Caenorhabditis elegans: one gene and its partner. The protein of the gene in region 1 interacts with the protein of each later gene in a pairwise test. Each region holds a gene or a part of one and is shown on either strand. Other genes may lie near its edges.

Evidence for each region.
Region 2: the proteins of clec-50 (region 1) and nekl-2 interact in a two-hybrid assay, tested with the Caenorhabditis elegans proteins (one large-scale study listed by BioGRID).

Annotation. Positions count from the first base shown.
Region 1 is NC_003283.11:19,752,351-19,758,857, forward strand, and holds clec-50 (C-type lectin domain-containing protein), read right to left. Parts: upstream 3,019-6,507; 5' UTR 2,987-3,018; coding exon 2,892-2,986; intron 1,830-2,891; coding exon 1,435-1,829; intron 625-1,434; coding exon 421-624; intron 373-420; coding exon 101-372; 3' UTR 49-100; downstream 1-48. Other genes in the region: W04E12.9 (MFS domain-containing protein), read left to right, coding at 4,249-4,250, 4,857-5,116, 5,164-5,325, 5,849-5,956, 6,007-6,126, 6,174-6,202.
Region 2 is NC_003279.8:6,659,614-6,666,120, reverse strand, and holds nekl-2 (Serine/threonine-protein kinase nekl-2), read right to left. Parts: upstream 2,988-6,507; 5' UTR 2,916-2,987; coding exon 2,823-2,915; intron 2,647-2,822; coding exon 2,499-2,646; intron 2,452-2,498; coding exon 2,333-2,451; intron 2,288-2,332; coding exon 2,092-2,287; intron 2,048-2,091; coding exon 1,926-2,047; intron 1,835-1,925; coding exon 1,735-1,834; intron 1,689-1,734; coding exon 1,603-1,688; intron 1,244-1,602; coding exon 1,034-1,243; 3' UTR 961-1,033; downstream 1-960. Other genes in the region: ZC581.9 (Protein kinase domain-containing protein), read left to right, coding at 1-206, 725-896; ZC581.7 (Tyrosine-protein kinase), read left to right, coding at 3,834-3,850, 3,899-3,974, 4,237-4,290, 4,338-4,418, 4,467-4,613, 4,666-5,003, 5,115-5,382, 5,428-5,634. UniProt on the Caenorhabditis elegans protein: Probable serine/threonine-protein kinase required for the completion of molting. May play a role in endocytosis in the hypodermis syncytium.

The DNA of each region.
Region 1 (6,507 bases):
GGATCAACTGTCAAGCCGAATGATAATCCTTTCATTAACAAAACATTCTTAAGTGATGAAACCAATTTATTAAATAGTATACATATCAATATATATATATCTATGCATGAATAGATCCCTTCTTGCAGATATAAGCTCTCATCTCGGTGCTGCACGCCTCGTTATTCCAGTTCTCATACCACTTATCGTGGGAAAGATCCGGCGCTGTCTCCACACAATTTTCCTTTCCCGGATTGTCAGGCTGCTTTGGTGCCCAGTTGATGTAGTTTGATGGGGTACCGTCAGTCCATACCCAGTCCTGACCGACCTTGTGCATACCGATCCACGCGAGATCCTTCGGGTTTCCTTCCTTGATTCCACACGAGGCAAGGTCTGAAGATTATTGGTGTTGAGGTGGTACAGGTAGTTGTGGAGACTTACTAGCAACGAAGGTGTTCTCGGTTTCCGAGTGAACTGAGGTCAAGTGAGCTCCAAGGAGCACACACGCAGCCTCTGCGTCCTCCCACTTGGCGTTATGGTAGACACGATAGCAGAAGTCGGTTGGTGCAAAGTAGGTCCATCCTTGGTCGCAAGACGGCACGCAGGTCTTGACAGGGCACGGAGCTGGCGTAGGGCAGGTAGTTGCTAAAAAAGTTCTTAGTTCTCATAGATCTCAGTAGGGCTCCCAGCTCGGCGAGGCGCGAAATGCGGGCCTCTGTGTGTGTGCGAAAGGCAGTTGTTTGGAGCGGCCGACACGTTCGGAATTCGGCAGCTTGGCGTGAAACGAGTAGCTGGGTGTGTGCGCAAGGTTGTGCGGAGAGGTAGTTATTTGGAGCGACCGACACATTCGGGGTTCCGCGCCGCACTAAACATTCGGATACGTGCGGCGACCGCTGAGGCCGACGTGCGGCATCTCATGGGAGCCCTAGTTTTCAGTTTCCTTATGTAGATCTCAGTTTCCTAAATTTTCCGTTTCCTTAAATCTCAATTCCCTTAGATCTCAGTTCTCTTAGATCTCAATTCACTTAGATCTCAATTCCCTTAGATCTCAATTCCCTTAGATCTCGATTCCCTTAGATCTCAATTCCCTTAGATCTCGATTCCCTTAGATCTCAATTCCCTTAGATCTCGATTCCCTTAGATCTCAATTCCCTTAGATCTCGATTCCCTTAGATCTCAATTCCCTTAGATCTCGATTCCCTTAGATCTCAATTCCCTTAGATCTCGATTCCCTTAGATCTCAATTCCCTTAGATCTCGATTCCCTTAGATCTCAATTCCCTTAGATCTCGATTCCCTTAGATCTCAGTTCCCCCAATTCCCTGTGGCCTCCTGTAGTCTCTAGGGGTTTTACTTCAGTTTTCATGTACTTTGGATAATTTTATAAAAATTTTACAAGACCTCTACCTACAAAATACATAGAACCACCGCTATTAAAATTAATATCAACACTTACGAATCGGTGTAGTGATTGGTGGACACGTGGCAGTCATAATAACAGGTGTGACACATACATATGGCCTGTAGGAAGTACATCCAATAGCCGACCAGGTTCCATCTCCCTTATCCTGAATTGCACAGTCACTTCCGGATTGGGGTTCACCCAATTGCCAGTTGGAATAGTCGAATGTCACTGATGGATCTGTCCATTTCCAGGTGCCGGATGTCTCGAGATCATTGGCTCCGATCCAGTAATCGGAATAGTTGGATCTCTTGAATGAATTGGCTGCGTTTGACTGAAGAAGTGCGTTTTCTTGTCCATTCTGAACGGAAGCAAGGTGGCCGCCAAGGAGATTACATTGCTCTTCAGCGAACTCGAATTGAGCCGGTGCAGTGAAGTATTGGTAGCATCTGGAATTTGGATACTAGATCAGTGATAGGATATATAATATTCTCAGTGAACAGGTCCCTTTCGTAAATTGAAAAAGGAAAATTTCCCGGAAAATCGTCTCTACTACTGTCCTGAACCTGTATAGATCATTTCGGGCAAAATTCAGAATAAGCCAGTGAAACAAAACAAAATCTCTGACTATAATAGACCACTTTGGTTAAAATATATATATATATATTTATATATATATATATATATACATGCATATATGTACATGTATTTTCTGCTCAACGCTTTTAGTACTAATTTCAGGTCTCAATTTTTATCACACAGTTTTTGTTTTAATTTTTTTCTGATTTTGTCACTAACTATTATGTTTTTTTATCATTTCGCCATTAGTGATAACGTTAAAGAATGGTGCCATATAGTTAAGAAGTGATGGGAAGAAAAACCAAATGTTCAATGCCGTTTTTTTTAGTGTAATGTATTTTTATGATGTTTTGAGATTTTGCAAATGATTTGGGACGTATTCAAATAATTTCAGATTTTTTCGAAAATTTTTCTGAAACTCTCCAAAAACGTTGAAAGTGCTTTAGTTTGTCATTTTATAATTTTCAAACATAAATTTTACGTTTTTTTTAGGGAGTAGCTTAAATCTGAAAAGGTAACTGGTACATGTGTATTTCATGACACAGAAAACACTGTAGACACGTTAAAATTTTGAATTCAAAACGTTGATCAATAAAACAAGTGGTAATCATTTGCAAAGTTTCAGAAAATTTTTCCAAAAAAATTTTTTTGACTGAAAAATTTCAAAACAGTTCACATGATTTTGAAAAAATTTTTTTTTTGAAAATGCCTCCAATTGTTCTTATAATTACAAAAACAACATTAGTACTACATATCTATGCACTTACGAGCCTACGTACTTATGTAGTACCTATGTACCTACGTACCTACTTACATACGTGCCTACGTACCCATTATACAGAACGTACCCGTACTATTAGGAGCTACGTACCTACGTACCTGCGTATCTACGAACCTATCTAGTACCTACTCATCCATAATACGGAACATACCTATTAAAATGCGCATTATAAATACCACCAGTGTTACATGTCTGTGCAGCAGTTGCTCCGAAAAGAGCCAACGTCAAAAGTAGTAACCGAGCCATGTCGATTGTCCAGTCCGACTGACTGATTCTGCACCTTGAAGCGGGCACACGGGCGGAGTCATTTTACAGGGAGCAAGAAAGAATAGAGTCTCCACCTAACAGAAGGGAATAAAAAGTTAATGGGCAAAATGTGCGAGAAGCATGGCAGGGGTAATGCGATAAAGGTGTCCGGGTTGTGTGATAAGAAAATAAATTGTTATACTTTTCAGTTTCAATGATGGTGTTTAGTTAGGGGGGACAGGAGGAAAATGGTAAAATTTTGGTTCGCAGAGCAGAAGAAAACACGTAACAAGCATAGAACAAATTAGGGCTTCTGAATATTTTTTTGGGGAGAGCTTTCTCTGAAAAAATATTTTTGATGATCCCTCCAAAAAAATTAACTAAAATGTTTGCTCAGAAAATTTAAATTTCCCGCCAAAATTTTTTGTTGAAATTTTGATTTTCCCGCCAAAATAATTTCTCCGAAAATTTGTATTTCCCGCTAAAATGATTTCTCCGAAAATTTAAATTTCCCGCCAAAATATTCACTCAAAAAATTTGAATTTCCCGCCAAAATATTCACTCAAAAAATTTGAATTTCCCGCCAAAATAATTTCTCCGAAAATTTAAATTTCCCGCCAAAATATTCACTCAAAAAATTTGAATTTCCCGCCAAAATAATTTCTCCGAAAATTTAAATTTCCCGCCAAAATATTCACTCAAAAAATTTGAATTTCCCGCCAAAATATTCACTCGAAAAATTTGAATTTCCCGCCAAAATATTCACTCGAAAAATTTGAATTTCCCGCCAAAATATTCACTCGAAAAATTTGAATTTCCCGCCAAAATATTCACTCGAAAAATTTGAATTTCCCGCCAAAATAATTTCTCCGAAAATTTGAATATTCCGCCAAAAATATTTTCTCAGAAAAATTGAATTTCCCGCCAACATTTTTTTCTCAAAAAATTTAAAACTTGTTTTTTTCAGATAATTTAAATTTCCCGGCATTTTTTATATACATATGTATACTGATTTTCTGAAAAGTACAGCGCCCGACTACGGGTTACTGTAATTCCTGGCCATCAAGTACAACTATCCTATGATCTTCCCCTCCAGCTCACTAAAGTCTCTCTAACGTCATTTTCCATTTCTCAAGGGGTCTTACCATGCGTTATTTACCTTCTTTGCCCTCTCTCTTTCTCTATTTTTACGACCACCCGTCTTCCCATAACTTATATATATATTTGCACTTGTTCGTACAAAGCAACACCACAACAATAATATGTAGGTTTTTAATTTTATATACTAAAATTGTTTCTATAATGCTTATTTTGGCTGTAAAAAATAATTTTTACAGCAAATTTTCGGAAACAAAAACACGAAAACCATTCAAGTGAGGTGTCGATGCACCAAGTGGGTTTTTGTTAATCATTACGTTTTTAAATTAAAATATAGCATAGAATTTCAAAAAAAAAAAGAATCTGGTTCACTCACTTTGACAGCTTGATATCTTCGTTCAATTTTACGTTATTAATAGGAAATTTACTGCGAAGCTATAGAAAAACATACGATAAGTATTTTGTTAGTTGACAAATTTTTGATAAAACTAAATACAACCGAGATATGACTTGTCAAAGTTGGGTGAGATGTCGATGCACCATGTCGAAAACTAGTCCCGGCCTCATATATCTGTTTATGTTGACCACATTAAAATGTTAAAAGTTAAAAACTAAAAAAGTTTTATTATGATATTCGGTCATTTTGGGACTATAGGAGTGGTTCTTAACAATTTCCCCACTGGCGCTACTCATCAAAGTTCAGTGGGGTGAAGCCAGTTGATGCACCATGTTTGGAACTAGCTCATATCTGGATGTGCTAAATAAATTTCAGGACCATCCCGAAAACTGTGCTCAGCAGCAAAAAAGATGCTTCTCTTCCTTTACCCCCAACTCCACCTTCAAAAGAGCCTGGATCTTCGTGGGGTCTACTCAAAGATCCCGTCTTCATACTTCTCAGTGCTTCCCACTACATATCAATTATTGGGTTCTGTATTCCCCTGATGCTTTTCGCGGATTTCACAGGAGGCTTCACCTATATTCTAATGCGAGTTGTATTTCTGTTTGGAATGCTTACCGCGGGCTTGTACATTGGTAGTTGGAATGTGACGTTGAAAATTGCTCTTTTTATGGAATTTCAGGAAGCACATACTTGAGCCCGCTTGTTGAAGGTGGGAATATCCGGAATTTGATCCTGATCACCCTGTCGCAAATGATCGCAGGACTTTTGACGATTGCTATTCCCAATATTCATCAACCAGGAATCAATTTTGTGTTCTACCTGTTCCTTGGAATAGTATTCGGTAAGTCCGGAAATCGAATTCTAAGCCGAAGCCTAATACTAGGCATAAATCTAGTCCTAAGCCTAAGCCTGAGACAAAACCAAAGCCTAAATTAAAACCTAAGCCTAAGTCTAAAGCCTAAGCCTAAGCCTAAGCCTAATGAAAAAAACGCTATAAACCCAAGCCTAAATAGCGTGGGTTTATAGAGTTTTGACGCTCGCCGCTGACGCTCGCCACTGACGCCAAGCCTAAGCCTAAGCAAAAGCCTAGGCCTAAGATAAAGCCTAGGCCTAAGCTAAAGCCATAGCGCAAGCCTAAACCTAATCTACGGCCTAAGCCTAGGCCGAAGCCTAGACCAAAGCCTAAGCCCACGTCTAAGCCTAAGCCTAAGCAAAAGCCTAGGCCTAAGCTAAAGCCTAGGCCTAAGCCATAGCCTAGGCCTTAGCCATAGCCTAGGCCTAAACCTAATCTATGACCTAAGCCTAAGCCTAAATATATGCCTAAGCCTAAGCCTAAGCCTAACAATAATACCTTCAGATTTCAGGCCAGAGCTTCACCCTCCCACACTTTGTGACTTTTGCTTCTGAACAATCCCAAAACTTTCTCCTAGCAATCAAACTTTCGGCGATTCTAGTCGGTATGCCGTGTGCAGGTTTGAAAAGTTTTCCTAAGCCAGAGCATCACAAAAATCCGAAATTTTAGCATTTTTCTACTTGAAATTCGATAACTTCGAGGCCACCTACTATTTTGGAGGATCGTTGTTGGTTTTTGCTGCACTGATCTCAGCTCTAGTCCCGTTCATAGTTTTGTGGAGGGAAAAAGGTATGCACTTCTAATAGTGAGTTTTCTAAAAAGGGTTTTATTTTCAGATTCTGCGGTCAAGAAGCTTGCTGAATAGTGAACATGGAATTTTATGTTGAAATTGTTTAATAAATCTGTATTATATTTTCTATGAACTAATATTGTTTCTCAATTTGGTTATTTTTTATGTTTATGCTTAAGCTCAGGCTTAGGCCTAAGCTGAGGCTTAGACTTAGAAAAACAAATGAATTGGAAGAAACTGTATAGTGCGGAGCGGATTCCGAAAAGTGTCGGCCGCGGCATTGAATGAATAAGCATTTTCGCAAAAATCACTTCTCCAGAACGATAGAAACATTACCATTTTAGGCAAGTGTCAGAGGGAAGGAAGACGGGTGTTATGTT
Region 2 (6,507 bases), on another chromosome or scaffold:
TCACGTGGAAGTTTGGAAAGTGATATGAGTATTCGAATAGGAAATGGTTCTGATATATCAGATGATTCATGTTTTTCAAGTCATTCCGCAAAAGGAAGAAGACAAAGTTGGTTAGATGGATATGGTCATTCGGTTAGCTTAGAACAGAATACAAATGGATTTTTGGAAACAACTTCAAGAAACCTTGGTGATCGGAATAGTATGAAGTGAGTTTAAAGAAATCAACTACTTACATATGTCACATATTCACGGGATATAACATAAAAGACAATCAAAGAAATGCCTCGGCAAAACGTCGCAACTTCATAGCATACTCCTGCAACTTAATAAAAACATTTATATAACTTTGTAAAAAGCTGTTAAGAAGTTGCGAAAACCAACGGGATTGTGAGCGAAATTTAGCTTTACATCTGCTAAGAAATTGCAAAAGTCGTCTGAAAAGCTGCAGAAGTTTGCCTAAAAGCTAAAATGCCTAATTGTTGTTAAGAAGTTGCAAGAGTATGCTATGAAGTTAGGCCGTTTTGCCGAGTGGGTGGCTTTGAGGAGTACTGTAACTCTCAACTCCTTGTTGTTACGGTTTTTGCTACAATAATACCATGGTTATCCATTTCTCATAGGGACCTTAAAAAGGCAATTGCCTGTCAACTTGAATAAAACATACATGTACCGTAGGTTTAGGGCAAAAAACTTGCACTACATATGAATTAAAATCCAAATATTTCAGTTTCAAACAGAGGAATGCGCGCGCCTCAGAAAGACGAGCCCGAACCCGATCTCCGAATGCTGAACTGGATCCTCAACGTGAACAACCACCTGCTCGACCAAACTCATTTACAAATCTCGGCCACAACATTGTTCTCACCTACCGTAATCTTTTGTACAAAGATCATACCTAGCATACTTTGTTTTGTCCACTTTCTCATTTCCCGTACAGTAACATTTGTGATATTTTGCCCACTTCCGAATGATTGGTTTTTATGTGAAAAAATAACTTCAATTTTAATTTTAAAGAAACAAACAATTAATACAGGAGTTAATACTTTGAATGCACTTGACTTCTTGATTGTGTTCTCTGATTTGATGTTCTTCCACTTGAAAAGAATCCAGAATCAATATGAGATGGCATTGGTGTTAATTGTGTCAAATGGGTAGTTGGAGCATTTGATGATAAAGAATACGGACGAAGTGTTGATTGTGTTGGATACGTTCGAAGTCGACTGCTCAATGAAGCTGATGGCTTTCTCTGAAAAAAATAAAATTCATGACAAGTAATGAACATCATTTCAAAGTACGGCTGAAAAAAATCCGGATTCTGTGCGATCAAGTGATCATTTTTGATGTGTTACAGAGGTTTTTCAATAATTTTTTGGTTTTCCAGCACTATTTCAGAATGTAATTTATCTGGTATTTAATTAAGAAGATTAGAACAAAAGCATGCTTTTATATTTTCCGCTGTTTGACCTACAGAACTCGCTAGGAATTTATTTTTACTAGCATGACGTCGATGGTTTCTTTAAAACTGAATTATGATTCCCTGTTAAGGCCAGATAGTAAACATGACATTTTTCTCTAAATCAAAACACTAATACAATTAAAAATTACCTTATCCGTCGGTGGAGGTTCGATTCTTCCCAAATCGCAATGAATTGATATCAAATAGGGAAGAACAAGTGGATCGGAAAGCAGCTCTGAAAATTAATCGATTACATTTCCAAGTGTGGAAATTTTTTTTACGTGATACGTCCGGTCTCTTATCCGTGTGTGTTTTAAGTAAGTTTTCCACTAACATCTTCACATCGTTTGATACGTGATCTCCCAACGGGTTTTGCTTTGACTGGAAATTGAGTGATACATGATTAAATTTAAAAATTTAACATCAGGGAACAATGCAAGGGTTTTGGGACCTATCCTTTTTTGGTACATACCCGGGTGATTTTCATTACAATGGCTGGTAAATTTTCGCCGTCAAATGCTCTTTCAAGCTGAAGAAGCTCATACAAAACACATCCTAAAGACCACATGTCACTTTTTTGATTGTACGGGCGACCTGAATATTATATTTTCATGATTATTAAAATGAAATTGACATACTTTCACAAATTTCAGGGCTTAAATAGTTTGGAGTTCCAATAACAGTCGACGCTGCAGATTTCGTTCCAAGCTCCTTTGAAATTCCAAAATCCGATAGCTTCAGAACAGTCTTTCGGCGATTCATAAGAATGTTTTGAGGCTTAAGGTCACGATGAACGATATTTTTCTGGTGCATATGATTGAGTGCAATAAGAATCTTCAAAAATATTTGTTTCAGTAAAAAGTTAAGATGATAACTAACCTGTGTAAAATAATCTAAAACAGTTTTTTCGGGAAAATATTCTCTCATGTTTGAATCTTTAATCGCTCTCTGATCATTTATTAATCTCTCTAATGTTCCTCCTTCCGCGTACTGCATAACTGAACATATCGAATTTTAATTCAATTTTAAAATTAAATTTACTTACCAATTCCAAGTTGATTATCCATAATAAAAGAATCAATATACCCGATTATTAATGGATGTTGAACTTTTTTCAACAAATTTACTTCACTCTGAATGCTATTTTCCTCTTTTTCAGTCATTCCGTGAGTATTGATGAGTTTTATAATTACCTGAAAAATTAAATTATAAAGTTAGTAGATTATAACACAGTACTGCTATTTGAAAAAAAAACTGATTTTCCAATAAAATAAGTATTTCTAAAAATTGATTATTTTCCCTAAATTAAACCATACCAGGCTTCAAATGTAAAAGAGTCCAACGAAACTATTACAATTGTCTGACTAACCTTTTGATGTGATGCATCATTTTTACCGCGACACAGCCAACAAACTCCAAAAGCACCACGTCCGACGACACGCACTTTTTCATAATTGTCCATTTGAAAATAATATTTGAATAGATAGGATTCAAAACTATAAATTCTAGAAAAATGTGAAGACGTGACTAATCAGTGAAAAATAATCAATAACCGACGGTGTTCTTCTTCTGCGTCTCTCTGAAAGAACAGGTTTATTATCAAAGGGATTGGGGAAGTCATTGAAAAATGCCGCGCATTTTTTATATATCACTTGTCTCTTTGACAGATCCTAGTGGTTTTTCATGTGATAAGTTTAACCTGTAAAACGAACACACGAACACTGTTCGCTTTATTTTGGTTAACAATTTCAACGAAACGGCAAGAAATCAATCAAACAAATCAATTAATGTTTCTCTTCGAAGACATATTCTCTAAATTATAAAAGATTGTTTGACCTCAAAAAAATGGCATAAAAAACTCAATTCTAGAGAAATAATAGAAAACTTTGGCCACCTGGAGCAATGGATACACAGATAGAACGGCTATTTTTAATTGGCAGAAAGTTGGCAGACCGCCAGCAGTTAGTTGGGGGGACAAATATATAGCACCAGAGGTGTGCCATCTGCCATTTAACTGCAAATAAACTGCCGTTTATCTGCTTACACCACACAAATTTAAGCCTTTTTAAAAGTCATGTTGGCTATTATTATGCAGTATTCTGGTTTATTTCTAGGCAAAATTGCAGTTTTTGTAGGTAAAAACAAGCAGTCTTGGATACAAAATGATACATAAAAAATTTTTCATGCACTGACCAATTGAAAATTAGACTTGCAGGCAATACTAATAAATAGGAAAAAAAGAATTCTTTGTTTGAAAAATTGATTTTAATTTTAATAAAATGATGACAACGTGAACTCATTCCCTCCCCCCTCCACCTTTCAATAAAAAGGTTTTGAACTTCGCTCCAAGTTCAGTTCTTAGTTTTTATCCAACGCGGAAATGGCTAACAAAGAAAAGTGAGTTGAATTTAAATGCGGTTGTTGTTAAAATCTTCATGAATTCAGGATTCTTGAAGAGGACATTAACCTACCGTATTATCATGGTGCACTCATGAACCAGGATGCTGATCAGCTTCTAGTTGTAAGTGACAATTTAGAGGGCGCTTTATCCGTGGATCTTATGTCATTTCGTATCCACTGTACACATATTGACTCAATCAGTGACCACAATGGACCTATCGCGAGCACGCGCTCAACACAAACGTAACGTGATGAGCGTCTACAGCGATCTTACAAGGGTCCTGGTGAACACAATAACTGTCTAGATGGATTTCCAGATGGAATTGGTTTCAAATTTGAAGAACGTTGGATTTTTCAACATAAACGATTTTAATTTTTTTCAGAATGACGGTGACTACATGATTGTTGTAAAAATGAATCAGGAATTGAACAAAATGGTTTGCCAATTTAGTTTAAATAATCTTCAAAAGTGAATTTATTTCAGCAACTCTACTTGGCTGTTCGTTTGAAAAAAGGAATACGTCGTTTCGAAATCAAACGGAATCCGACTTCTGCAAAGATTGGGGTATGCATGCACCGTACTTCTAACTAACAAATTTAATATTGTTTTCAGGGAAAATCAGCTCCTAATATTGGGAAGCTGGTTGACTCAATGCAAAAAGAAACTATGGAAATCAAAGGAGAACGGGTGATCTTGAAACGTGCGATTCCCAAGGGAAAGTTCCAATTAATGCATAAAGATGTGGACTTTAAAAAGAAGGTATTAATTATTAATGAAAGAGGCTTCAATACCTGAAAACCTTAATTTTCAGCTTGGTAGTGGAGCCTACGGAACCGTCTATCTTGGCCGTCTCACCAAGAACAATACCAAAATTGCTGTAAAAAAACTTGACACTGAAGGAAACGACGAAGAATCATTAGCCGAGATGATGAAGGAAGCGAGAGTTATGCAACTCTATGACCATCCAAATATTGTAAAGTTCTATGGATACATTGTTGATGATATTCCATACTTGCTGGTTCTGGAGCTTTGTAACGGTGGATCGGTAGAGGATAAACTAGTGGAAAAGGGAGCCAAGTTGAGCACAAAGACAAGGATCATGTACACTTATCACGCTGCATGTGGGATAGAGTACTTGCACAAGAAGAAGTTAGTTTCTTTCTGATTTTTCACCCAAGACATGTGATATGATAGTGAGAGATTTTTTGTGGTTTTTTCCTCACTTCCAAAGAACTGGTTCACTGTAATCTACTTTTTCAGATGCATCCACCGCGACATTGCCGCTCGAAACTGTCTCATTCACAAGGAAATCGTCAAAATTGCTGACTTTGGAATGTGCCGTGCCACGTCAATCTACAAAGTCGACTTGAACAAACCAACCAATACCCGTTGGTTGGCACCAGAAGTTTGGGATAATGGAGAGACACGTGACAATACGGACATCTTCGCGTTTGCAATAACTATGTGGGAGTTCTTTGAAGTGCCATATGATTCCCCTTATAGTGAGTGGAAAGGTTATATGGTGAAGGTTAGTAATTTATATCCTATTGTTTGTCGTACCTCTGCTTTTCAGCAAAAAACTCGGGCTGGCTATCGGCTTCCGACTCCAAAAGGAATGCCATGGGATATTGAAGAAATAATGAAACTGTGCTGGCACGTGGATCCAAATCAACGCCCGACGGCTTCCGAATTGAGAGAGAAGATTGAGGAGACAATGGCCAAACCCGAATCATCAGCAACTCCTTTGAATAAGAGCAAGAGTCAAACTAGCAATCATTAGAGATCTCCTTACCAGTGAATGTTTGAATGAAAGTGTTTTGAAAACTGCATGTTTTTTGTGTATTATGTGTATTTGAGTGTTGTGAACAAGAAGCTAACTTAAATGTACAACAGTTTTTGAGCATGGTGCAAATGCGCTCTATTGGACACAACTTTTCAGCGGTAATTCAAATTCGAGCTTTTTTAGCGTTTCACACGGCCTCCTGCGCGTGAAATGCGCCAATCGCACGAAGAAAGCGACGCGCTATGACTTCTCTGCGTCTTCACTCTCTCGCGCGTGACGATAGAGCTCATTTGAAGTGCATGTTTCAAAGACGGGAGACAGTGCAAATTTTAAAATAAAAATAAGAAAAATGAAATGATACGGTTTTTTCCAGCATTTTGACTACCCAACGAAATTTTACGGCTCTGAAGAAATTTTTATTTGGGAATTATTTCCCTTATACTGAGCAGCTCTGAAATTTTTTCTACTTTTTTTGTCGTTTTTATATGAAGTCAATATCAAGGAACATTATTCAATAACAAAAAATATCAAAAAAAAATCTTGCTTTTTAACATAGTATGCCCGTTTTTGGCAGGACGATGCGGCTGGTATGGGTCAAGAGAGAAAAAAGTAAAAATCTTTTCTCACCGATTTTTAGAGAATTTTGAGCTTATTGCTTATTTTATTTTGACCACAAACATTAATATCTGTTCAAATCTGACGTAGTTTTCTAAGTTTGAAATTTTCAACTGAAAAGTGCAAATTTTGACAGTTTTTGACATACCGTATCCAATAGGAAATATTTATCCAAAATCCGTGGTCACCAAAAGTTTTAAAAAATATTTGTGCATCTTTTGGGCTAAAATTTGTACGTGTTGGTAAAAAATTGAG